Arabidopsis thaliana: one gene and its partner. The protein of the gene in region 1 interacts with the protein of each later gene in a pairwise test. Each region holds a gene or a part of one and is shown on either strand. Other genes may lie near its edges.

What was found.
Region 2: the proteins of TINY2 (region 1) and HB34 interact in a two-hybrid assay, tested with the Arabidopsis thaliana proteins (one large-scale study listed by BioGRID).

What each region holds. Positions count from the first base shown.
Region 1 is NC_003076.8:3,726,800-3,730,660, forward strand, and holds TINY2 (Integrase-type DNA-binding superfamily protein), read right to left. Parts: upstream 1,928-3,861; 5' UTR 1,701-1,927; coding exon 990-1,700; 3' UTR 654-989; downstream 1-653.
Region 2 is NC_003074.8:10,939,675-10,943,875, reverse strand, and holds HB34 (homeobox protein 34), read left to right. Parts: upstream 1-2,042; 5' UTR 2,043-2,339; coding exon 2,340-3,278; 3' UTR 3,279-3,571; downstream 3,572-4,201. UniProt on the Arabidopsis thaliana protein: Putative transcription factor.

The DNA of each region.
Region 1 (3,861 bases):
AAATTGGATGTGGAGACATAAAATGAAGAGAGGAGGAACTCCCTTTAGGGATCCAAGTTATATGTGGAAATTAAATAGATGCTCATTCATTTTAATATTAATCTATTTCTTGATATATACATTCTTTTTTATTTGATGATCATTATGAAATTTTGATAAATTAGTCTTTAATCTTAACATATCGTAGAATAAGAACACAAACAAAAAAAAGTCATCTGTGGAGCTGGCTAATCAGATCTGAATTTATCATAAGCCTTTCTCTTTTTAATTCTAAAATAGAACGAGTTGTATGATATTTGTGTGGCCTATATTGTCTAACAAATTTTTTAAAGTGGGAAATTATGGTCATTAACATACTAATAGATGATAATAAAGTATTGCATGGATGTACATATGTGGCTGTGTATTGTTTGCGTCAGCTTGGACAAGTTGCTCTTGCTTTGTGTTTTCCCTCATTTTTTACCCTAACTCACATTCTCCGTTCCATTTATGTCGACAAAACAAAAATGAATGGGATAGTGAGACTCTAATTTACAATTAATGGTTAAAGATATTTCCTATAATTTTAAAAAAAAAACTTTTTTTGTCAAAGAAAACAAAAACAAAAACATTGAACAGTTTTTTAAATTTTGATGATTTGCATTATTACAATATCATAAAGTTAGTGGACTTTTATTTATCGCTTATTCATTTGATGATACTTACAAAAAAATCACTTTATTTTCCCTTCTTTTCCGACAAAAAAACCCGATATTTATATATTACAAAAAAAAAACACAAATAGAGTTTTGTACACGTATCATTATGGAGCTCACACCCGCTCCAAAAAAAAAAAAAAAAAAAACCTTTCTTAGCTAACACCAAAAAACTCAAAAAAAAAACAAAAACAGCAAAGGGTTTTAAAAACGTGATTAAACAAAACATTATGGCAATGATACAAAATAAACTGTTTTAAACAAAACATTATGGTAATGATACAAAATAAACTGTTAGAGATCCCATGACAAGCCATGGCCAAAATTAGGGCTAATTCCGTGACCATAGTTATCTTCGGACGACTGTCCCCACGGCGGCGGATATAAACAGTAGTCAACTGAGTCATAGAAGACAAACTCGTTCCCAAGGTTAGCCGAGTCGACGTCGTAACTCGCCCCGAGACTTGGAAGCTCCACAATCTCACCGAGCTCCTCCGACTCAGTCCTCGAGAGGTCCATCACCAACACAAGAGACTCGAGCGAAGACGTAGAAGACAAAGACGACGACGAAGACGTGGAAGATGAAAACGACGTCGTCGGTTCCATGTGAGCTGCTTTAAGAGCTGCTGTCTGAATGTCTCGAGGGCTTAATGAAACGGGTCGAGGGAATGAGTCAGCGAGTTCAGGGAAGTTTAGTATAGCGGCCGTTCCTTTAATGCTCAGAGCCGCCACGTCGTGTGCACGCGCCGCCATCTCCGGCGTCGGGAAAGTTCCCAGCCAAATACGTGATTTCTTCCTCGGCTCACGAATCTCCGACACCCATTTTCCCCAGTTCCTCATCCTTACTCCGCGATAAACAGGGTGTTTACCGGAGTCTCTCCCACGTTTAGTCTTCTTCTCGCTTTGCTCAGCTTTGCTTTTGTCACTCACTGAGTCAGACTCCGAGTTAGGGACAAGAAGCTGAGTTACTCTCTCCGAGCGGAGGCTGTAGTATTCCTCTGCCATTGTGTTAGCTTAGGCACAAGTATCGTACAAGTCTATTATTCTGATTGCTTTTTTCGATTCGGATCCCGAGATTAATGCAAATAAAAAGAAATAGCTAGGCTTCAGGGGGAAAAATATATAAGTTTGAGAACTATTCAAAATGAGGAAAAAAAACAGGGCAGTGAAGTGTGATGAAGAAATGAGAGAGAAACTTTGATATGAGAAGAGAAAAATGTTGGTAAAATTTTGGCTATCATTTCTCAGTCACTCAAAATATTTATATATGCATTAATATATTTGGGTACGGGTTAGAAGAGAGGGAATGGGACCAAAAACAATGCAATAAGTCTAATTGAATAAAGGAAATGGACCCAGTGGCTCCATTTATTTTTGTTTTTCTCACAGACCCACTCTATTTCTATATTGTGAATATATTGTTATTAGTATAAAACGACACACTTGGGGTCACTGTTTGCTTTAATATTTTTCCCGGTTCTTAAAATCTCATTATGCAACTAAATTAGGAAAACAAAATACTTTTCAGTATATTAAAAGATTATGAGACGACCATATTTAGAAGGGCAGTGTTGAAAAGAGATTTTGTCTCGGCCGGGTACGTAAATTATATGAAAGTTGTCTCCGAGATGAACATGATGAGACAAGCCTTTTTTGTTTTGTGTGGTAAGATAATTTTCACCTCAGTTTTACTGTTTAATTATCCTTTACCTTGATCTTCGACTCATTGGATCATACATTCCTATTTACATATTGGTATATATATATGCTCATCATGTGAAGGCAATATGTATCCACATATATGATATGCCATAATTGCAATTTAGTTTTGATCAGAATTAATATACATATTATTTACACGGATATAGAGTTATTGTCTTTCAAATTTTGATTTTCTATAAACATATTATATGAATGTCAACAGTTTTTGAAGATTTATTCAGGAAATTTTTTTAGTAAGTATCATATGTTTACTTTAGTTATATATATCGAGGGCTAATTAAAGGAACTTGTCTTAACCAATAAACCATATGCTTCGAGGCTAAATTTTAAATTTTGGAGAAATTTGTAACTGAGTGTTTTTTTTCGAGACACCAAATGGTGTGTGATTAATTGCACAATTTGTACTGATTTCATTTGAGAGGATATTTTATACTTAGACTTGAAAAGGTGTACTAAAGGGGGTTTAACCGTAAGTAAATTGATAATTAATACCTCTGTCCTGGTCTTAGAAAATATATGGGCGTAAGACCCATAAAAGAAAGAAATCTACCAGCCAATTGATATTAATTAGGTTAAAGTTGCTTCCAAACTAAAAAAAAAAGCCCCCAAAATTAGAGGTACAATATTGCAAATAAAGAAAAGAAGTTTGTAGAGGAAACTTCAAGAAATTTTAAGGGACAATAACTTGTTCAATCATGGGGTCGTATTTGCGTACCTATAAGGAAGGACGAGTGTCTGTCAAATATACACATACACTAAAGTCTTTTAATAATCATGCCAAAAAAATGTCTCTTAATGACGAAAAAATAATGTCTCTTAATAATCATTTTGGATTTTTCACAAGTAATAGCAATGTCTAAGTACTTGCAATGAAGAGAATTGTTTGTATTTTCGCCTCTCGTTTCAGCAATACGTATATGCATTTTATATTGATCATATACGTAATACTAATTAACAATAATATTGATCATCTTAAGTTTACTAAAAAAAAAAAAAAACTGGTCAACAAAGGTTTTAGAGTTTACAAGTTTCTAATTCAAAAATTATTGACATGAATATATTGACTCTTGCTTTATATTTATCCTAGTTAAACAGATTTTATGTGAGATTCTTACAAGTCTATTTAAGACGAGAACGAAAATAGTTTAATTGTTTTGAAAATATTGTTAGAACACGAGAACAGTTTATGAAATCAATCGGATTACAAAACCATTAAATAATTTTGAAACCTCTATTTAAAAGTCAAAACTAACTAGTAATGAATGAAAAAATAGAAAAAAAGAAAAATTATTCACTATATTTCAAAATATAAGATGTTTTAATTAAAAAAGAACTTTTTTTTATTTTTAAAACCTTTATTTTATATTTGATTTAATAAAATTCAACTAATAATATAAAATACTGCATAATATAAATGGTCACAAATAACAAATATATTTAAATT
Region 2 (4,201 bases), on another chromosome or scaffold:
AAAAAAACAATAAAGAAAACTTAGTCCCCAACATAATATACATCTTATTCTCATAATAGACATCATTAACCATAATTTTTATGCACCGAATCTGTATATCTAATCCATGTACAGAAATATTTGTAGTACGAAATTCAAAATACACATAGATGCACATAATTTATTTGTGACAAAAAACGAAGAAGGCAAAGATTGTTATATCGGACGTAATATGTGGTTTAATATTTCACGTACCACTTAACTGATGTTTGATGGTGGTGTACGAACCGATTGAGAGATAATTAAAAAAAAAAATCGAAGGATCATATTTTTCGTGTTTGGTTACCGATCGATAGGTTGAATTTCTCGGTCCAATGATGCAATCATTCGTTGGAAAATAATTTGTGATTTCAGAATCCAAAAACATGCGTACAATACGACCTTCTTATTTGCCAATTCATTTGTATAGTGATTATTCTCATCACTATGGTTTAGTCATCATTGGCTTTGTTCTGAAATGTTTTTCTTTATTTTTTTTGGTTTTAGCCGTATTTTGCTTGTTCGAAAGAAGGAGCAAGTTGTGATGCTCTTGATGTGATCGCCCAGAAGAAACTTTGGCCACCGACTTCGTTTTTCTCGGCGATGGTCGCTTGGTACGAACACATTGGCCTTGGCCCATGGCGTTTGCTTGATTGTTTGTACACACCACCGCACATGACAGAGAATCATCAAAATTTGAATATTTTAAATAATAAATATAAATTACATATATTTAGTAAGTTCCGATACTAATTTAGATTTTAGTCTATGACCTTGAATGACGGTAGTTTTTAGACATTAGGTCTTAGTTTTAAACCCAAAAGACCGAATTTGATATAGGATCTATTTATGGTAACCGAAGAATTTAACTGCATATGACTAAAGACATGACTGGTTTAATTGCAGCGGACGGGGCTGTGGTTTCGCTTGCGGTTGCGGAAATTTGCGGAAGCGAGATATTGTGGTTTCAAGCGTTTTAAACGACTAATTTAACGTTTCAAAATAGATGCATTTGCAGAAATCTTATGACTAGATGCAATAATAATTAAATAAATAAAAAAGATCCAAAATAAATATAATATATAGGATTAGATACAAATATGAAAAGATATATACAGAATTATATATATTTATCTTAATTACAAATATGTTGATTATTTATTATTATTTTAATATTTTAATTCAACCGCTACCATCCACAACTACAAACGTTTGCGGGAAGGAGTTTTTGAAATGTATTGATATCGAGCGATCCGAGCAGTATCCCGCGATTTATATGATTATTGTCAATCACTAACAATTGTTACCACATGTAAATGATGCGTTTGCATGTAGTAGAAGGAGAACCAATCAACCCCTTAACTGATGATGGCTGAATTTATTTTAAAGGTGGCTGAATGACTTCAAATGATAACCACTGAATTTATTTGAGATTATTCATTTTTCAATATAGTTACCTGCTGGTAACATATATTTCCTCCATTCATAATAATATCGTTTTAAATATTTTTATATAAATTATTAATATATATTATATTTTAAAAACCAAACTGATTCATACTTTATAGATTTTACATTGAAAATTTAGAACAATACTTATTTTGGAAAAAATCTTTAAACAACAAAACAGAATAAGTATTTTTTTTAATATTATTTTGTGAAAAACAACTATTTAGTTTACAATAATACCTAATAGTATAAGTAAACTTTTACAAAGTTGTTCGGTAATTACATTGTAATAGTCAAATATACAAAATGCTAAACATATTTTAACAGAAGGAACAAATATTAGAATAAAGTAAAAAGAAGCCAACTTCAAAAAAAAACAAGAAGTGTCACAATGCATGAGAATATTAATTATAATTGGACTGTCTTTAGGTTTAAGACATTTATTACTCTATATATATTTCCCCACTCCCTATTACAGGTCCCACTTTTAACCATACATTTAACCATAGTTAAATCATCAAACCCTACCTTTCTCTGTTAAACATCTTCAAGCTCTGTCCTTTTATTTTAAATATATTTATTATTCACATTTATTAACATTTTTATATCTCTCCCTATTAAATTATTTTATTCTCTCTTAGCAACATTCATCAACCAGAGCAGATTCACTATCATCATCTTATAACACATCTTCTTCCTCTAAAGTTTATTTTCTTAAACTTATTACAAAAAACATGATCTTCAAAAGTTGATTTAATCTCTTTTTATCCATCTTCTTCTTCATTTCTCAATATCAAACTTTTCTTTTTTTGTAAGCTTAACATAAACCCTAATATTTTCTTGATTTTTTTCAAGAAAATAAAAACATAAAGATGCTTGAAGTTAGATCAATGGATATGACTCCAAAATCACCAGAACCCGAATCCGAAACTCCGACCCGGATCCAACCAGCTAAACCAATCTCTTTCAGTAACGGAATCATCAAACGCCACCACCACCACCACCACAACAACAACAAAGTCACTTACAAAGAATGTCTCAAGAACCACGCGGCGGCGATTGGTGGTCACGCGCTTGACGGTTGCGGCGAATTTATGCCGTCTCCTTCGTCAACACCTTCCGATCCAACTTCTCTCAAGTGTGCAGCTTGTGGTTGTCACCGTAACTTCCACCGCCGTGAAACTGACGATTCCTCCGCCGTTCCACCACCGTCTCTTCTTCCATCTTCAACAACAACCGCCGCAATTGAGTATCAGCCTCATCACCGTCATCATCCTCCTCCTCCGCTAGCTCCTCCGTTACCACGTAGTCCTAATTCATCTTCTCCGCCGCCTATCTCTTCCTCCTACATGCTTTTAGCTCTCTCCGGTAATAATAAAACCGCACCGTTCTCAGATCTAAACTTCGCCGCCGCGGCTAACCATCTCTCCGCCACGCCTGGCTCGAGGAAGCGATTCAGGACGAAGTTTAGCTCAAATCAGAAAGAGAAGATGCATGAATTCGCCGATCGAATCGGTTGGAAGATTCAGAAACGTGACGAAGACGAAGTTCGTGATTTTTGCCGTGAGATCGGAGTTGATAAAGGTGTTCTCAAAGTTTGGATGCATAATAACAAAAACTCCTTCAAATTCTCCGGCGGAGGAGCAACCACCGTGCAGAGAAACGATAACGGTATCGGCGGCGAGAACAGTAACGATGATGGAGTTCGCGGTTTAGCTAACGACGGTGACGGTGGTGGTGGGAGATTTGAGAGTGATAGTGGAGGAGCTGATGGTGGCGGAAACGTAAACGCCTCGTCGTCTTCGTCGTGAAGAAGAAAACATCATGTCGTTTTGCAGGGAAAGAGTTATAATAATGGAAGCTTAAGCTTTGTTTTTAGCTTTAGATCATAGAGAGTAAGCACTGGTATTATTATCGTTAATACGTTTTATTAATATTAATTAAACTCTTTTAGCTCTTTTTTAATTTTCCAATTTTATTATAATTTCATTACCACGACGTTGTCTTATTTTTCCATTTAAAGTAAGTTTATATCAACAAATTGGATTATGTTATAATAAGTCAATTTTGGTTAATTTAATGAACCCTAATGAGGAAAATTTTATAACTTTAATGTTTTTTTTAATAATATGTTTTTTGGCTTCTTATCTTAAAAGCATTTTGTCTTTTTAAATTGTAACGTTCCCAAAGGTTTCATAATACTTTTCCACTAATGGAAAGATTATATGAACTAATCACCCGAATTAGTCACAACACTATAGGTCAATTTAGGTAATCAAACGAACCCTAAAATGTGAGTCCCAAACATAAATAAACTATTGCAATTTAGTTAATTATTTAATATTATTTGATGGTTTCTTATCTTGAAGAGTACTTTGTCGCTTAATTTAATATGCGATCAAACTAAGATCTAGGTGTCCTTTTCATAAATCTCTCTTTATTCTTTGAGAAAAGAGACAGGTTTTGTTTTATATATTAATTATTCTAATAATATATTTTGCAATGATTAGTTATCTTGGTGTCTAATTAACAAAAGATTCATCGGATAATTCATTTTAATTTCCTCATTAATCCATTTCTTTATCATCCTTACATTCCCACTATCCGTTTTTGGTATATATGCTCAAGTGTTCGATATTCTTAAAGTGCAAACTACAAATAAGTATATATTATATAATTGGGATCTAACTATTATTATTAAAGTGCTATATAGTGTTAATTTAGGGCGTGGAAC